3 linked regions of the Drosophila melanogaster genome follow. The protein of the gene in region 1 purifies or fractionates together with the protein of each later gene. This does not show direct contact. Each region holds a gene or a part of one and is shown in the gene's direction. Other genes may lie near its edges.

The links. Proteins that work in one complex are often made in the same cells at the same time.
Region 2: the proteins of Cnx99A (region 1) and Cyp12d1-p purify together in Drosophila melanogaster (affinity purification with mass spectrometry, with the first as the bait; one large-scale study listed by BioGRID). This does not show direct contact.
Region 3: the proteins of Cnx99A (region 1) and CCT6 purify together in Drosophila melanogaster (affinity purification with mass spectrometry, with the first as the bait; one large-scale study listed by BioGRID). This does not show direct contact.

The regions. Positions count from the first base shown.
Region 1 is NT_033777.3:29,314,727-29,321,567, reverse strand, and holds Cnx99A (calnexin 99A), read left to right. Parts: upstream 1-1,923; 5' UTR 1,924-1,980; exon of another isoform or gene 1,981-2,034; 5' UTR 2,035-2,193; coding exon 2,194-2,337; intron 2,338-2,955; coding exon 2,956-3,294; intron 3,295-3,427; coding exon 3,428-3,499; intron 3,500-3,598; coding exon 3,599-3,732; intron 3,733-4,056; coding exon 4,057-4,645; intron 4,646-4,707; coding exon 4,708-4,848; intron 4,849-4,938; coding exon of another isoform or gene 4,939-5,064; intron 5,065-5,202; coding exon 5,203-5,331; intron 5,332-5,398; coding exon 5,399-5,623; intron 5,624-5,688; coding exon 5,689-5,733; 3' UTR 5,734-6,314; downstream 6,315-6,841.
Region 2 is NT_033778.4:11,116,707-11,123,671, reverse strand, and holds Cyp12d1-p (cytochrome P450 12d1 proximal), read left to right. Parts: upstream 1-1,787; 5' UTR 1,788-1,823; coding exon 1,824-1,925; intron 1,926-1,985; coding exon 1,986-2,311; intron 2,312-2,365; coding exon 2,366-2,482; intron 2,483-2,546; coding exon 2,547-3,567; 3' UTR 3,568-6,447; downstream 6,448-6,965.
Region 3 is NC_004354.4:15,744,659-15,749,489, forward strand, and holds CCT6 (chaperonin containing TCP1 subunit 6), read left to right. Parts: upstream 1-1,989; 5' UTR 1,990-2,112; coding exon 2,113-2,249; intron 2,250-2,649; coding exon 2,650-4,114; 3' UTR 4,115-4,313; downstream 4,314-4,831. Other genes in the region: CG8944 (uncharacterized protein), read right to left, coding at 155-511, 662-1,384; Mvd (mevalonate diphosphate decarboxylase), read left to right, coding at 4,594-4,645, 4,707-4,777.

The DNA.
Region 1 (6,841 bases):
CATGTGTGCTTCCGAGTCTTTGTTTGTCTTTAGAAAAAAACTTTTTAAATTGTGTTAAATATTCCATTAAACAGAAAGCTTTTTGTATGCAGTTGCAAACAAAAAAAAAGAAAGAAAAACTGTCAGTGGCAGCAATAGAAGCAGCAGCAGAATTGCGCGTGCCGCAGATAAGTTGCCACAGTTAAAGGATGTGCACTGGGAAAAATCTGTTAATCTTGAATATTATATATGTACCTGTTCATTTGTGTGGAAAATGTGCGTTTCCTTCAATGCTTCTAATTTGTAATAATTTTATTGTTATTTTCTTAAATTTATACACCTATTTTCTCAGCACAAAGAAGGCGTGGCAACGAATGGACCCCACCCACACAAATCCTGCCAATAAGTTAGGAATTTTTATTATAATTTTATGCTCAAATGCATGCCACTTTATTTTTTAGAGCCACGCGTGGCAAAGGGAAACTTTTGCCGCCAGCCATCAAGTTTATTGGGGGGCTTAGCCATTCCCGTTGTGGGGCATTAATTGAGCCGCCGGGCTTTTAAAATAATTGCAACATGCAAGACTACTTTCATGCCACGGAGTGTTTGATTCAGATATGTCCAGTGGAAAATAAATGTATGCCAATATTTCAGTGGAAATCGCACATCGCACAAATATTAATTTCAATATGGTCGGCGAGGGAAAATAACAAAATACTAGAGTGGTGCCTGCTACGAGTCCTAGATAATCCTAATTCCGATTGAAATTAATTTAAAAATTAGCATACATAATTAACAAAAATAGGCTTTAACTGGTTTGCGAATTTCCGTGCAAATTTATTAAGGCAAAACTGTCAATATGGAAATTACGTATTTTCTTAGACGTTTTTCGTCACTACTTGGCTCAAAATAGTCAGAAATCTACGAAACTAACTTTTTTGTACATCTTTTGACCTAAACTAACAGGGCATATAACTTTTTGACCGTTTTTCCAAAATCCATATTTTGGCCATTTTTGAATTTTTTGTAAGGGGTACCATCATCATTTTTTGCAAAATTTGGCTCAAAATTTTTTTTCCAAAATTTGATTTTGGTTGGAAGGGGAGTTCGATTACGAGTCCAACAAGGTATGACAATCCATATTTCGGACAATATTTCTCAAGTTATGGCTGAAAAACGATTATTTTATGGTGGTTTATGCGAATTTATATGTCTCAAATGAAAACATGCAGCTTTCTTTCCCCTTGTAACCATTTATTCTTTATTTATAACATTGTATTTGTTTATATATTTCATTCTGTATTATGATCATGTATTAATTATGATTAGCAGTGAAAAGTATGCAACATTCAATTAGCGTCTGGGGGTAAGTCTGTACTACAAACTTATCGGAGTTCCAAACCCTGTAACGACGATTGGAGTGAGGCATATCGATATGCTTAAGGTAACGATTACGATGATGTTTTTATTATTTGATCAACGCACTGTTACCCATGCGGCAACTTAATTTGATCTGCTTAAATTATTTTATTTTACAATGTGTCTTGGTTACTTAAGACTAACAGATTTTTAATCCTAAAAATGATAGGGAGAATTATAATAGTTGATATAACATAGTAATTATTATTTATTTGATTATTCTAATGAATTTTAAAACTAAGACTTTCTAGGTCAAAACCAGGTTAGGGAGGTCATGAGGGTGGTTTTAAGGTAACAAAAGTATTCTTAATTTATTAAATAGCAAATAAGTATATAAAATTAATAAATCTGACATATTCCTTACTTTTATTTAGCACAAACATAATCATCAAATCAATTATATTCTGGTCCCGCTGAAAGTGTGCTCTTCCTAAGAACGTGCAATTATTAAAGATTCTAGCTTGAGTAAGTATCTTAAAAACTATATATACCCTACGGTAGGGTACAACGCAACGCGACAGTGTGACCAGTTGTCCTTTGCGGCGGCATACCAAAGCAGGCGAAGAGGAAGCACAGAACACAGTAGGCAGCGCAGCAGAGAAAATGTATAATTTACATTAATTTAATTACAAATAGTTCGTCGTGCCAGATCTCGATTCTTGTTATTCCGCAACAGACCGCAGTGGGGGAAAACTGTTGAAAAGCACAGCGCGCACAAGTGAGTCCACCACCTGGTTTTCCGCGGATACTAAATCCCAGCCAGGCAGCCAGCGAGCGAGCGAAAAGTGGGTGAAAATGGCGTGGAAAATGGGAGGAAACCGGGCCGCAACGCTGGCGTTGCTCTTCGCCAGCAGTTTGCTGCTGCTGAGTGCGGCCAATGCCGCCGATTTGGACACGGAGTCGGACGACTTCGAGGATGGTTATGTGGAGGATGTGCAGGTGAGTAGTTGGTCCGACGATGCGGTTCGTAAGATAAAAAAAACGAGAGAAAAAAGTACACGTCAGTGGAAGCTACTAGAAGAAAAGGCGAAACGCTATTGCTGTGAGGGTAGGGGAAGGTGGTTGTGGGGGAGGGGGGTGTTGGTGCGGCCGGCTTCTTCGCTTTATGACCCACAATTAGCATGCGAGTGTGTCTCACTTTTCCAGCAACAAATCCGAATGCGAGGGAAAATAAAACTGTTTACCAACAGACGAGGTCAAGCAGATAGCAACTCCCCATGGCAGCACCAAGAATGCGCTAATCTGTTGCTCCACAGGTTACATCAGAGGTTTATTGAGCAGAGCTTCTATTTAACGTGCTTGTTTCTCTAGAAATTATGCCAGTCATTTATGTTTCTAGGGGAGTTACTGCTACAGATGAGGTCAAGCTAAGAGCAACATAAAACATGTTATTATATAGCTATAACTAGTCTGGCGGGCCCAGGTGTAGCGCTCTCCAATTCAAACCCATGCTGGCCACCCATCTTTCTCTCCCTCTCTTTATCACTTTCCCCACTGACAACCGCGTGCTTCGGATTTTATGGCACCTTATCTAATGTTTCCACATATGCTTTGCAGGAGGAGCCCGCCGTCATCGGTGGCGATGAGAAGCTGGCCTACGAGAGCCCGGTTATCGATGCCAAGAAGTTCCACTTCGCGGATCACTTCGACGACGTGGAGGAGTCCAGGAAGAGGTGGGTGCTGTCGCAGGCCAAGAAGGACGACATCGCCGAGGAGATCTCCAAGTACGACGGCATCTGGAACTGGGAGTCGCCGCAGCGCATCGTTTGGGCTAACGACTTGGGTCTGGTGCTCAAGTCGAAGGCCAAACACGCGGCCATAGCCGCCCCCCTCCGCAAACCGTTCGAGTTCAAGTCGGACAAGCCGCTGGTGGTGCAGTACGAGGTCACGTTGCAGGTTCGTCACCTAGCGAAACGCTCTGGGATTGCATCAGCCGCCGGGCAAATCCAATTAATACCCGCTTACTGACCCAATTCTCGTTCTCCCCCGGCTTATTCTCGTTTTTTTGTTTTTGTTTTTTTGTTTTTAGGAGGGTCAGGAGTGCGGTGGCTCGTATCTGAAGCTTTTGTCCGCCGGAAAAGACACGGAGCAACTAAAAGCGGTAAGTGCGGGGGCCAATGCCCTCATAGATCACACTCGCCTGAACCCCAAAGAACATACATCGTAAACAACCCCCGAAACCGAATCTGTTTACTCGTAGTTCAATGACAAGACACCCTATACCATCATGTTTGGACCGGACAAGTGCGGCAACGATGTGAAAATGCACTTCATATTCCGGCACGTCAATCCAATTAATGGCACCATCACCGAGAAGCACTGCAACAAGCCAAAGTGAGTCCATTAAATGAACGCAACTCTTTGGCAGATTGGAAATGAGCAGCTCGTTCAAGCGTTATCGCTATCAATAGAATCACCACTCTAACCATCTTGCTTGAAAGTTTCCGAGCGTTGTATAGAAACAAAATTGGTGTTCGACATTGCGCATACGTGTAATATCTCCGAAATCACCTTTGCTCACCTTTATCACCCGTTTGGCTCTTCGTCACCGATGGTGGACTATTGCCCCCATTGATGAGCTGAATTTCTGAAGAGGCAGATAAACCGTATATTTATAATCCCATCGATGAATAATATTCTTTTGTTCTTTGCTTTCAGGAACCGTTTGGAAGAGCCATTCAAGGACAAGCTACCCCATCTCTACCAGCTGGTGGTCCGTCCCGATAACAGCTTTGAGATTCGCGTTGACCACAAGATCATCAATGAGGGTTCCCTGCTAACCGATTTCAAGCCACCAGTCAACCCGCCGGCAGAGATCGACGACCCCAATGACCACAAGCCCGAATCGTGGGATGAGCGAGAGAAGATCCCAGATCCCACTGCCCACAAGCCCGAGGATTGGGATGAGGATGCTCCACCCCAGTTGCCCGATACCGATGCCGTCATGCCCAATGGCTGGCTCGAAGATGAGCCCGACATGATTTTCGATCCAACTGCCACCAAACCCGAGGATTGGGATGCCGAAATCGATGGCGAGTGGGAGGCTCCATTGGTGGACAATCCAGTGTGCGAGAAGGCTCCCGGCTGTGGCAAGTGGAAGGCTCCGCTCATCCCCAATCCCAACTACAAGGGCAAGTGGCGTGCACCAATGATCGAGAACCCCAACTACCAGGGCAAGTGGGCACCCAGGAAGATTCCCAATCCAGACTTCTTTGAGGATCTGAAGCCCTTCCAAATGACGCCCATCGTAAGTGCAATTTGCATGGCTTTCGTTGTCCACTTTGCTATAGCCAAACTAACTCTATTTAGAGCGCTGTGGGTCTGGAACTGTGGTCCATGTCCAGCGATATTCTCTTCGACAACCTAATCATCACGGACGACGTGGAGGTGGCCCGTGACTTTGCCGCCAACAGCTTCGACATCAAGCGTCGCTACATCGATCGTGAATCGGTAAGTTTAAAACCCCTAACCTCTTCCGTTTTCCCTTCACAAATAAACACAGGGATTCGTAATCGAGAGACTTCTCTATCCAATTCGAAGAAAACCTTCTGGCACCGCCTAATGCGCCGCATGAACTACAAGCCCGGCTGGTGGGCCCTGTACTTCGTGTACCTGCTCATTCCGGCCAGTTGTTATGTCTTCTATCTCTACCGACGCGCCAAAGAGGTTGGCTCCGGTCTTGTCTTACGCTTTCAAATTTTAATTAGAAGTGCCTACAGTACAACCACATGAACACCTCTCATATTTGCCCTGCACCGTGCACCTGTAATTGCTACTGCTATTCTTTGGCTTTCTCATTAATAGGACTCATTCGTGAATAAGGTAGTCGAGCTAGCCAAGGCCAATCCCTCGATCTGGGGCATTGGCTTGGTGGCCATTGTGGCGCTGGTTGCCCTCACCATCTACTGTAGATTTGGTACCGCTAAGAGTCAGGTAATGATGCTCGAGCTTTCACTTGAGATCTTCATAAGGAATTTACTAATCCCACTTTTGCTATTAGGACTCGGCTGCCAAAAAGGCTGCTGCCGAGGCCAAGAAGTCCGACGATCCTCAGCCCGACGATGAGCCCGAGGCCGAGGAGGAGAGCGACGAAAGGGCCGCTGGCGATACCAGCAAGGAGAGCACACCGCTGTCCGCTAGTCCCAAGAAGAACCAAAAGTCTGATTTAGATGATAACGAAGAGGAGTCCAAGGCGGCGGAGAGCCGAGAGCCCGCACAGACTGAGGTGCGTTCAAAAATAAGCTTGCTTGTGTCCACCACCAGAACTAATCTCAACGTTATTCTCTTTAGGAATCTAACACAAAAACACGCAAGCGTCAAGCGCGCAAGGAGTAAGCGGGCATCCCCACATGCCGAATCCGAAAACAAACACTGCAACTCTAAAGAAAAAAAAAAACTTAATCCAATTCCAAAAGCCAGCGGTTGCGAAGCAGCAACAACCAAAATGTTTGTTCGCCAAGGCAGCCGACATCTCCCACAAACTACACACACACACCACACACACACTCGTTTCGGTTTAGTCAACTCTGTACGTACTTTTGCCGTATTATCGTTGCATTTCTGTCGTGTTCGACCCTCTGTCGTCCCCATATCTCCTATACATATATAGCACCCTTACACAGAGCCAGCCGCGATGGCACCGCTTTATAGTGTTTAGTTGGAGTGATGATCCTCCTTTTGATTTGTGTAAAAATGGAAAACACCAACTAGACAATTGAGGGAAACAAATCAACTACAACTGAAACTAAAGCAGCAAACAAAGAGGGAACTAAAGCAGATAAATCTAATGGCAAGCATCTAGTTTAATATTATGTAATTTAAACGAAATTGAATAGTATGTTAGTTATACTCAAGTTTCCATTTTCATTTGTACCGATGAAAATTTACAGCGAAAAATAAAACTAAATGTCAAAACCAAAGCAAGAGCCTTTGAATCCAACCAACTGCCAGCAGCTAAGCGAAAGGACTGAGCCAAGTCCTGTCGCACAGGTCCTGATTCCAACCCCCATGCAGCCATACCACATGGGTGTTAATTTAAATGTCAACCCCTGATGTTGGGATAGATCAGATTCGAATCGGATTTATTATGCTCGATGGTGCGTGGGGCGCCGACCAGACCAGACCAGACCAGACACATTGCATTCGTGCGGTTTTGGGGCATTTGCCAAATGCCAAATGCCAAAATGTTTTCATTATTTGGCCGATTGGATCGATCTGGTATAGAATACATTTAACAATCATTTTGCGAGTCAAGAAAGAAGGAAATCCCCGCCAATAGAATTCATTTTCAGCAAATGATACCATCATGTATTAGAGGCCTCCTTTTTGTCGCTCTGAATAATTCAATTCAATTTCCTAAGCTCATAAATATGCCAAATCAGACAGACAGTCCTCGTTAATGGAATTGTTATGACAACAGTAAGCCGACGACGATTTGCATTCG
Region 2 (6,965 bases), on another chromosome or scaffold:
CTTCTACTGAGCATATAAGCCTATGTCTGAACAATAACATACTTATATTGAATATGAGCGGTTGATATTTTTTTAGCAGTATCAAGCTTTCTTGACTTACGGCAATAATTTCGCTTTCTATCACTGTGATGGTGGGAATTCTTAGGAGTCATGCTGGATTGCAGCTTTTCAATTTGTAGAGAATCGTTTTGTTATTCCTCTTGGGATGCGATGCTATATAAGCATTTTGGCAGGCTTCCCAGCTCAGTTGTCATTTTAGGCAAGCAGTTAATAAAATTAACTATGAGTATTGCGCAGAATGCGCAATCCATTCAGCTTGTGAGGGCATCTTCTAGTCAGGCACAGATTTTGGCCAATGTGAGTTGAAATACTATCACCACAATCGGGTATTCCACTAACATACATATGTGATCTGGATATTAAGGTAGCCGATAGTGTAGTCACTGAAGCGAGATCCTATAAGAACATTCCACTTCCCAGAAAACAGGAATTTGCAAGGGCATTTATGCCGGGTGGAGAATTTCACGATGCCTCAATTTTGGATTATGCAGCAGCGATGAGAAGTTGTTATGGTGATATCTTCATAATGCCTGGAATGTTTGGTCGCAAGGATTGAGTCACCACATTTAGTACAAAGAATATCGAGACTGTTTTCCGCAGTGAGGGAACTTGGCCGGAAAAGGATTTCTTTCCCTCGATCACATATTTCCATTTATGGAGAAAGTGTGGGTCTGATATTCGCGTAAGTTACCAAATAATTACATATGTATATCAAAAGCGGAAGTTAATTTGGAAACTATAATTTAAGGCAAGCAGCGTTGTGGGGCAAGATGCGATCAGCCGTCAATTCAATTTTTATGCAACCCAAAGGATTGAAAACTTATTATGAGTTCAACAACTAGTTCATTGAGCGCTAAGAATTAATTCATACTTGTATATTTCGATGTCCACCTGAGTTTTACTTTTTCTCCAACATTAAAGAAATTCGAGATGCTAGAACTCTGGAGATGCCGCCTGGTTTTCGAATCCCTTGGCTTGGTGGCTTTCGATCGCCCAATGGGTTTGATCAGTCGAAATCGAGACGATCCAGATGCATTGACTGTGTTCCAAAACACGAAGCACGATGTTCAGATATGCCTTTCAATTGAATATACAGCCATCAATGTGGAGATTTATCTCCACTCCAAACTTTCGGATGATGATGCGTCTTCTCGATGACATCTTAATGTTCTCACAGAAAATGATAAAGGACACCGAGGACTCTGTGGAAAAGCGGCGCCAGTAAATAAATAAAATAAAAAATAAATAAAATATCAGTATGCAAAGAGAACAAGGATCAACTCTAAGAATTGTTTTTATTTTTCTTTAATTTGGTTATTTATCTTGAAATTGTCTACCGTTGAACTAGAATCCTTATAAATTTTTAAAAAATATTTAAATATTTTAGATTTTTTTCTAGCGATCCCACTAAATGAGTAACGGGTATGTAATAGTCGTAATAGTAGTATCAAATTCTCTGAGGTGTATTTATTGTAAGTTCCAACGCTCTCAATTTGTTTTTCTAGCCAGTCACGTTCATTTGTTTATTTTTTCAGTTGAGTGAGGTAGGCAATTCACGGCGATTATACCGTTCAGCTGATAAGAAAATGAAACTCATGCTTTGTTTGCTGGCTTTTGTTTTTGTTTGAGATTTTTGCATTTTGAAGCATTTCAAGTTATTCGCTCTCCTCTCTTTTCTACGTTTTAGAGATAAGCCTTTGGTATAAGAACGTTCTCGAAAGTGGAACTGTTTTTAGTTGCAGTTGATCACCAAAAGGAATAGAATGAATACATTGAGCAGTGCGCGATCTGTGGCGATTTACGTGGGTCCCGTTCGATCTTCAAGATCAGCCTCCGTTTTGGCACATGAACAAGCTAAATCTAGTGTTAGTATGCACAAAATCCAGTCGAAATAGATTTATCATGTTATTAGTTTCCAATTATAGATAACGGAGGAGCACAAGACCTACGATGAGATTCCGCGGCCCAACAAATTCAAATTTATGAGGGCTTTCATGCCCGGTGGTGAATTCCAAAATGCATCGATTACGGAATACACCAGTGCCATGCGAAAGCGCTATGGAGATATCTATGTAATGCCCGGAATGTTTGGCCGCAAGGATTGGGTCACCACTTTCAACACAAAGGACATTGAGATGGTATTCCGCAACGAGGGTATCTGGCCACGTCGTGATGGCCTGGATTCCATTGTATATTTCCGCGAACACGTTCGACCAGATGTTTACGGTGAGGTTCAAGGATTGGTGGCTTCGTGAGTATAAAATCTAATAAGTAGCAAGGAAACAATTGAATTTGAATATTTCAGACAAAATGAGGCATGGGGAAAACTACGATCAGCCATTAATCCCATCTTTATGCAACCCAGGGGCTTGAGAATGTATTATGAACCATTGTCTAATATCAATAATGAGTTTATAGAGCGGTAAGAAATTTTTGTTATTGAATTGTTATTTATATATAGCAATAAATTCCATTTTACTGTGCAGCATTAAGGAAATCCGCGATCCAAAAACTCTAGAAGTCCCCGAAGATTTTACGGATGAAATAAGCCGGCTTGTTTTCGAGTCACTCGGCCTGGTGGCTTTCGATCGGCAAATGGGTCTGATTAGAAAAAACCGCGATAATTCCGATGCATTGACCCTCTTCCAGACCTCGAGGGATATTTTCCGTCTCACATTTAAGCTAGACATTCAGCCCTCCATGTGGAAGATCATATCGACGCCCACCTACAGGAAAATGAAGCGAACTCTCAATGACAGTTTGAATGTGGCCCAGAAAATGCTGAAGGAAAATCAGGATGCACTGGAAAAGCGCCGCCAGGCTGGCGAAAAAATAAATAGTAACAGTATGCTGGAGAGATTAATGGAGATCGATCCCAAGGTGGCGGTGATTATGAGTCTGGACATCCTATTCGCTGGTGTGGATGCCACAGCCACGCTTCTGTCGGCTGTTTTACTCTGCCTCTCAAAGCATCCGGATAAGCAGGCCAAACTGCGGGAGGAGCTCTTGAGCATCATGCCCACAAAGGATTCCCTACTCAACGAGGAGAACATGAAGGATATGCCATATTTGAGGGCTGTGATCAAGGAGACACTGCGATACTATCCCAATGGCTTGGGAACCATGAGAACCTGCCAAAATGATGTGATACTTTCGGGTTACCGGGTGCCCAAGGGAACGACTGTCCTGCTCGGCTCAAATGTGCTGATGAAGGAAGCTACATATTATCCACGACCAGATGAATTTCTGCCGGAGCGCTGGTTAAGGGATCCGGAGACCGGAAAGAAGATGCAGGTCAGCCCCTTCACGTTCCTTCCCTTTGGCTTTGGACCCCGCATGTGCATTGGCAAACGGGTGGTGGATCTGGAAATGGAGACCACAGTGGCCAAGTTGATTCGCAATTTCCATGTGGAGTTCAATCGGGATGCCAGCCGTCCATTCAAGACCATGTTCGTCATGGAACCGGCCATTACGTTCCCCTTCAAATTCACGGATATCGAACAATAATTTGCTTCTCATTTGTGGCCTTTACTTGTGTTCCTTATAGTTGCGATTTTTGATTACAGTAAATGTTTGACTGATGAAATGCAGATAAGAATTTTGCCTCCTCCTATTTCGCATTGTTGTGCAAACCTCGCTGTTTTGATAAGCAAAATGTTTAATACGTTTGATAAGATTGCGCTTTGTTGTGGCATCCCTATCGCTTTTTTTCGTATCAATTTGTTTTTTTCAACACAATTGCGAGGTGTGCTTTTCTTATATTTTTAGGTAACAAAGAAGAGACTATTGTAGGTTGTTATTTTTCTTGTTTTTCCCCCACACTTTGTATATTTAGGTGGTGGGTAGCGCTCACCAAAGACACTTTCAGCTGGAGCTTGCAGCTTGGCAGGCAGGTGAGAACGGGCTGCCGAGAGGATGTCCTTTGCCGCGCCACAAATACTTCTAACGGCAACAGCAAAATCAGGAGCAGCACCCAACATCAGGAGAGTAGCAAAGCGGCAAAAGCAGCAACAACAGACATATTCGCCTGCGGCCTGCGGAGTTATGCTAACTGGCACTCAAAGCAAAGCGCGGCCAAAAGCTCAGGTGGTTTGCCCTGTGCCACCTGCCACCTGCCACCTGCCCCCCTGGTCTTGTTCTTGTTTTTGCTGTTGCTGTGCCTGCCACTTGGCACTGGCAGCTTGTAACAATAATTTAAGCGATTTTGCGCTTTTTGCGAGTGGGTTAATGGCATGCTCAGGATCTAGGAAACGGGAAGTGGGAACTGTGAGCTGGGAGCCTGCAAGCGGGTATCCTTTGGCGTGGCGAAAATTCCACTTTTGTAGCAAACGCACATAGCTTATGAATTCCGCAATCCCCGATGCGGTGCAGCAGCAAAATGGTAGGGATGATGGACCGTGGGTCCTGGTCCAGTACAAAGTAAAAATGCAGAACATGTGTTTTTTCGGGGTGGCTGGATAACCTGGCTTATAGCAGCCATGGCCAGGGATCAGCTATATACATATACATATGGTCATGTACATCTCTTTGTGTCTGCTGTATATTAAAATTCAATTTTAAAACCGGCCACGCACAACCGGGCGTATGCGTAATGCGGCATGCAATCATTTGCGTGCGCCTTCGCTTGGAAATTCCTTTGCCATAACTAATCTCGAAGGCCAACCAAGACTAAGGCCAACCTAAGACTAAGGACCAGTCCTGACGTTTCATATTTCTAGCTCACCGCCCTGCCACCCAAGCTCAACCCGTTCCTTTGCCGCTCGTCTTTTATTTTATTTAATCTTTTTTCTTTTTTTTTTTTTGTGAAAAATTTCATACTCATCAAGTTGACAAAGAAAAAGTTTTTCATTATTACATTTCGCTGTCATTTGGGCGCAGAAATAGCTTGGAAAAGTTCTCGGAGTCCCGCTTTTCCTTCGCCGGCTGCCGGTTGAAACTCGAGTGCAGCGCGTAAATGAGTCACTCCCATTTTGAGTCGCCCGCCCGCAGCAGTCGGCGCTCATCATCAGATTTCCAAAAGGATAATGGTTTGGGTTGTGCTGGGCTGGGTTGGATTTGGTTAGGTTGTGGGGTGGTGGGGGGCAGTGGGAAAGGCACGGGCCCATTGCGTAGCTTGACGTAATTTTCTTGGCCTGCCTGACGAGTCGCATCCTTGCACATTAATCCATTGGTGTGCCTGGATCTCGGTAGTCGGAACCCCGGAACCCGGAACCCAGAGCTCGGATCTTGGTCCTTGCTGCACGCAAATGAGGGTATGGTCAAATCACTCACTGTCAGCCCGTGTCCCAAGGAATGCGTTCAGCATGTCCTTTAATTTTTTCTCCCTCTAAGACCAGTTTCATTCCCCTTTTCTGCACTTTGACAAAAAGCTGAGTCCTTAGCTTGCATAAGCAAAATGAATGAACCTATTTTTAAGTCATATACTTTTGAAAAGATACAAAATGGCCTTTGTTTAATTGAATAAATTTTTTTTGAAACTTTGAATGACATTATATATTTTTATTTAGTTGTTTTAAGCAATAATAAATTTGCACAAATTATTATTTAAATATGTTTGAATAGTTTAAAAACTTAATGATTTTTCAGTTTTTTCTTATTAGTAGGTCTTTAAATTTCTTTTGAGTCTCCTCAACATCATTCCATTGATTAGCAATTCGGATGACACTTTTCTTATTGTGCAGGCACTAGCATTTTCTATAACTTGACGTTTGCCCGCCTTGTCGTTGCCCGTCCATTTTCCATTTCCCATTTTCCGTTCGGCCAGCCCATCCCCACTCCCCCTGGCTTCTTTGTCCGGCTTGTACTTGTGTTGCCTCGCTTGCCGCTTTGCTGCCTGTCAGCGCGCAGCTTAAGATAAAAACTTTCCTTTCCACCCAAAAAAGGGGCCAAGGCGGCAACACCGGCCAGAAAAGGCTGAAAAAAAAGCAGGCAGAATGGCCTGCGAAAGGGTTGACTCTGACATTTAGCTTTCGCATATTTGCACACACCCCGCGTCCCCATCCACCGACAGTATATTTTATAGACTAAGGCGAAGACATGACAAATGCTCAAATAGAAATTCTTCAACAAGATTCTTGGCCGAAACTTAAGTTCATTTTTTGGTCGTGCACATCGCATGGGGGCTTTTGTAAGGGCCTCACCAGAAAGAATTCAAATTAAAATGCGATTGCTCTGGGGCTCACTCGATTTTCGTGTGTTTTCTGACACGGCCTGTCGATGGTTTTTGCATTTGTCTGCAAGGCTGAATTTAATACAGGACACTCTGCGCTTTCCGAATCACGAATTGGCTTCAAATTCAATCGATTGGTGGGGCATTCAAATATTAACAAAAATAGAAAAAAGGGTGTGCTTTTTGTAACAATTTGAAAATACTTTTATTTACTTAGGTAATTTAAGTAAATAAAACAATATACTAAAAGTGTGTAAGGCAGTTTCTGTTTTAGTGAATATATTACCTATAACTACATTTTATAAACCTGTGACAAAATCTACGTTATCCATTTAATGGCTATTAAATACTCCAAAACATTTTCCGCATCGATTTCCTTTAATATTCAAAATCATTTTCCGCTTTCACAGGAATAATATCAAACATATGACCGTGCAGCTGACGCTCAGATGTTTTCCCGCTTTCCACGCGGCCACTCGAACTTTTCATTCATCAGGCGCAGCGCACACGCATTGCCGAATTTGCACCAACACCAGTGCATCGGGGTCACCCAATTTCCACCCAAAACAGCCACCCACTCAGCCGAAGCAGTCGAATAACCCAGACACCCGCACAACTCACTCACCCATTCATATATTTTATGTTTTGTTTACATTGCCGGCTTGTGCAGCCCAAACAACAACTGATTCTATGGAAAAAGCGTTGGGAAAGCCTTGTGACGTCACCGGGAATGTGC
Region 3 (4,831 bases), on another chromosome or scaffold:
CCACCCAATCACGTCGCTGGATAAATAAATAAAGTCTCTACTCAAGTCGCCCACCTGTTTACGTTAATTAATCCGCTAACAAGGTTCCGTTTCAATCCACCCCCAATTCAGAGAAGCGGACGCATAGGATCGAATTGAAAGGGGAGCCACTAACCTTAACAACAGCATCGGACATCTTATCGTTGTAGCTGTATACCTCGTTGAGGAAGTGCAGCTCCTTGAAGTACCACAGCGTACTGATGTTGGTCTTCTCCAGAGCCATGCGATTGCACTCCCGCTTGTATACCGTGCGCAGGTTGTCCCACTTACGGGTGATGGCGTCCTTGGCCAGCGAGATGTTAAACCGGCTCTTGAACTCCAGCACAATCCAGTCGAGGAAGCGGGCGCGCTTAACGCGATCCCGGAACTGTGCATTGCCGTGGTCCCACAAAAAGGGGTTGCGCTGATACGAGTGGATGAGAAACTGGATCATCTTGCGGTCCTTGATGTGCATCGTAACCTCCCGGTCGCGCTAAGGGGTGGGAAAATGATAAAATCATTACAAATAGGTATATATGGATATTAGTGAAAATTAAGGGTGAAATAAATGTAGCTTTTAAATCGATGGGCGAAAATTTTAACAAAAATATCTGTATGTATATAGTATAAAAATATAACTTACTCCCAGCAGGGACTCCTCCACCATCTCATCATAGCTGAGAAAGTCCGATTCGGTTCCGAAACCACTGTGGTTAACGCCGTCGAATCCAGCAAAGTCCATGTACTCTCCGGAATTGTCGTCCATATAGCTGTGATCCGGATCACCGTAGTCGTCCATGGATGAATCGCCGTCACCGGCGATGAGAAGCTCGCTAGACATGTCCCTCTGGCGCTGCTTTGTGACCTTTTTGCGTGCCCGCGTCTTGGAACTGACCACCGGTACATCGCTTTCGGGTAATATGGCCTCGTCCTCATCGGCCTCGGAATCGTTCAGCCGTTGCTCATCGTCGTCTTCTTCGCCGGCGACCACATCATCATCGCTGCAGGGCAGATCCTGGAGCTCTTGTTTGATGACCATTTGGGGCTCCAGCAGCGCTGTGTCCGCGTCCGTTAAGTCTTCGATCTCGTGGAAGTTGGGCAGATCCCCATTACGACCGGACAGGGACATGGGCTCGCCGAGATTGAAGGGGAGACGGGAGGAGGTATTCGCCACGGACTGGTCGCCCAGGTGAACTGTCTGCATGTGGCCGATGAAGGAGTCGAAGTAGAGAAACTTCTCGCTGCAGAAGATGCAACGCAGGGCGAAGTACTGGAAGTCATCTGTGGCCGTCACCATGCCGCAGTCCTTGGTGCAGTGACGGAAAATCTCCTCGTCGTTGGTACGTGGATACGCCAGGACACTCATCGCGCCGCCTGCGGATCCTCGTCCTGTCCGGTTAACAATCAGAATTCAATTAAGTCTCTTGGTACTCTACGCTGCGGTCGGCGCACTCTAGTATTGTGCCTTATTTTGACTTGATTTTATCCCGATTTGGCCAATAAAAAAAAACTTTTTAGTGTTGGGGTTTGGGCGCACGGTTGCATTTCATTTGCTAATCGCCATCGGTGGTCGCAGGTGAGCCGATTAAATTGTGCGGCTTATTTTGCAGTGATTTAGCGGGAAATAGCCATTACTAGCGGGAAATATATTACCACCCTTAAGACCTTCTTTAATACTCATAATCATATAATCTTTGTAAATAACTTAGATATTAAGAATCGCTTAAATTGATACCGATTAAATTAAGTTGCCCAAGAAGGGTAATGGTACGCTAGTCAATAAAATAATTTCGTTTAATAAATTTAAATAAAAAAAAAGATATATATATGAAACATTTTTTAAATGTCATTTTGCATGTAAGCCACCACAACGAAAAATCTAATTAGAAATAAATAAAAGTGTTACAAATTGGAAGTGATTACAATACTATCGATTGTACTGCTTTGAAGTCTCTAGTTGTCTTTCCCCCATCTGGTCACACTTGCCATCTGATTTCTTCGATTCGCCTAACTTTAAGCGTGCTTGGATTTGTGCCGATTCCTATTGATTTATTTTGCCGAGCTAAGAAAATCTCTGTTTAATTGCGACACGCGATGGCTTCGATTAGCTTGCTGAACCCCAAGGCCGAGTTTGCCCGCGCCGCCCAGGCTCTGGCCATCAATATCAGTGCCGCCAAGGGACTGCAGGATGTGATGCGCACCAATTTGGGACCCAAGGGCACCGTTAAGATGTAAGTTACTAAAACCGGCCTCTAATATCCCTCACTTTGCGTTCCATTAGCAATTTGAGTGAGAATGCTAGTTTATAGGCGAAAAAACAAACGTTTTGGTCACAGCTGCGGCAACTGCAAGTTTGAGGTTAGACTGGAACTAGCGGCATGCGTCATCGCAAAAGAAAGAAAGAGAATGTTGCAACTCTGGAGCAAAAAGCTTAGAATTTAGGTGTTTTTATTTAATTTCAAAAAGAATCTTAAATGAAAGATGCCCCCAGAGGCTTTAATTTATTCATAAATGTGTGTTTACCTGCATATCCAGCACCGGGTGATTCAGAAAGTGGCATCGAAAGAGGCGTGACTTGACTCACGCGCCGTGAAAAGTGAAACAAGCATACTAATTCTAGAAACTTCGCAGGTTGGTTTCTGGCGCCGGCGACATCAAGATCACCAAGGATGGCAATGTCCTGCTGCACGAAATGCAGATCCAACATCCGACTGCCTCTATGATTGCCAGGGCCAGCACGGCCCAGGATGATTCCACCGGCGATGGAACCACCACCACTGTGATGCTTATTGGCGAGCTCCTGAAGCAGGCCGATATCTATCTGTCCGAGGGACTGCATCCTCGCATCATGACCGATGGATTCGAGAAGGCACGCGACAAGGCATTGGAGGTGCTCGACCAGGTCAAGGTGCCCGTGGAGATCAACAAGAAGAACCTGGTGGAGGTGGCCAACACAAGTCTGAAGACCAAGGTGCATCCCGCCCTTGCCGATCTGCTTACGGACGTCTGCGTGAATGCCGTGCTGACCATTGCCAGTGCCGATAAGACCAAGCCCGTGGACCTCCACATGGTGGAGCTGATGGAGATGCAGCACAAATCCGATACCGATACACAGCTGGTGCGTGGACTAGTCATGGACCATGGTGCTCGCCACCCGGACATGCCGAAGCGTTTGGAGAATGCCTACATCCTTACGGCCAATGTCTCGCTGGAGTACGAGAAGGCCGAGGTCAACTCTGGCTTCTTCTACAAGACCGCCGAGGAGCGTGAGGCCTTTGTGCGCGCCGAGCGCGAATTCATCGACCAGCGTGTGAAGAAGGTGATCGAATTGAAGCGCTCCGTGTGCGATGGCACCGACAAAACCTTCGTCCTGATCAACCAGAAGGGCATCGACCCCATCTCGCTGGACGCCCTGGCCAAGGAGGGCATCCTGGCCTTGCGTCGCGCCAAGCGCCGCAACATGGAGCGTCTGTCTTTGGCCTGCGGTGGCACTGCAATGAACTCCTTTGACGATCTGCAGGAGGAGCACTTGGGATACGCCGGTGTGGTGTACGAGCATGTTCTGGGCGAGAACAAGTACACTTTCGTTGAGGACTGCAAGAACCCGCTGTCCGTCACGATCCTGATCAAGGGTCCCAACAAGCACACGATCACCCAGATCAAGGACGCCATCAGGGACGGTCTGCGTGCCATCAACAACACCATTGCCGATAAGGCTCTGGTGCCCGGAGCTGGAGCATTCGAGGTGCGCGCGTACAACGAGCTGGTCGCCTTCAAGGACACCATCAAGGGCAAGTCCCGCCTGGCAGTGCAGGCCTTTGCCGATGCCCTGCTGGTCATTCCCAAGACGCTGGCCGTGAACAGCGGCTACGATGCCCAGGACACAATCGTCAAGCTGACTGTTGAGGATCGCCTGAGTCCCGAACTGGTCGGCCTGGATCTGGCCACCGGGGAGCCCATGAAGCCCGTGGATCTGGGCGTCTACGACAACTACATCGTTAAGAAGCAGATCCTCAACTCCTGTTCGATCATTGCCAGCAACCTGCTTCTCGTCGACGAGGTGATGCGTGCGGGCATGACGAGCCTCAAGGGCTAGTCCCCATCATTTCATCCGACCCATTCAATTTAACCAAGTTAATGCACCGCATGCTACTCAACCCGCGTCTCTCAAAGCCACACACAACCAAAAGAAAACTAAACACGTAAATAATTTGGAAACACATGAAATCGGAATGGTTGCGGCTGCAAGTATTCACATTTAAAATACAATTCTAATAAATACAAAAACCAAACACAGCTCTATGCTTAACGCTAATGTATTTTCTATTTTTATTAACACTAATGTTTACTCACTACAAACTTTCATTGGTTTAAAAATAAATGGAAATAGCGATTTAGCCGTGACTCAAACCTCAATATGGGCGGTAATTGGGGAATACCCACAACTACATTTTTTGGGGCCACATGGTATATTTGAAGAGTCCACTGGGTGGTCACACCGCAGTCAACAGTTGTCGCTTTCGCTGGAAAGCAGCTGAAAACAAGTGAATTTCTGAATTAAAAACATTTTCAAACATGTTTTCGGTTACTTGTGTGGCGCCCGTAAACATAGCGCTCATCAAATATTGTGGGTAAATTAATACATATATTATAAGCACATAAACTTATGCACATGCATTCCTTTAAAGGGGGAAAGCGGCACGAAGAGCTAATTCTGCCCGTCAATGATTCCATTAGCATGACTCTGAGCACCGATGAGGTAAATATGAAAGATATTTAAATATTTATTTGCGTTTTAAAACCAACAAATTGT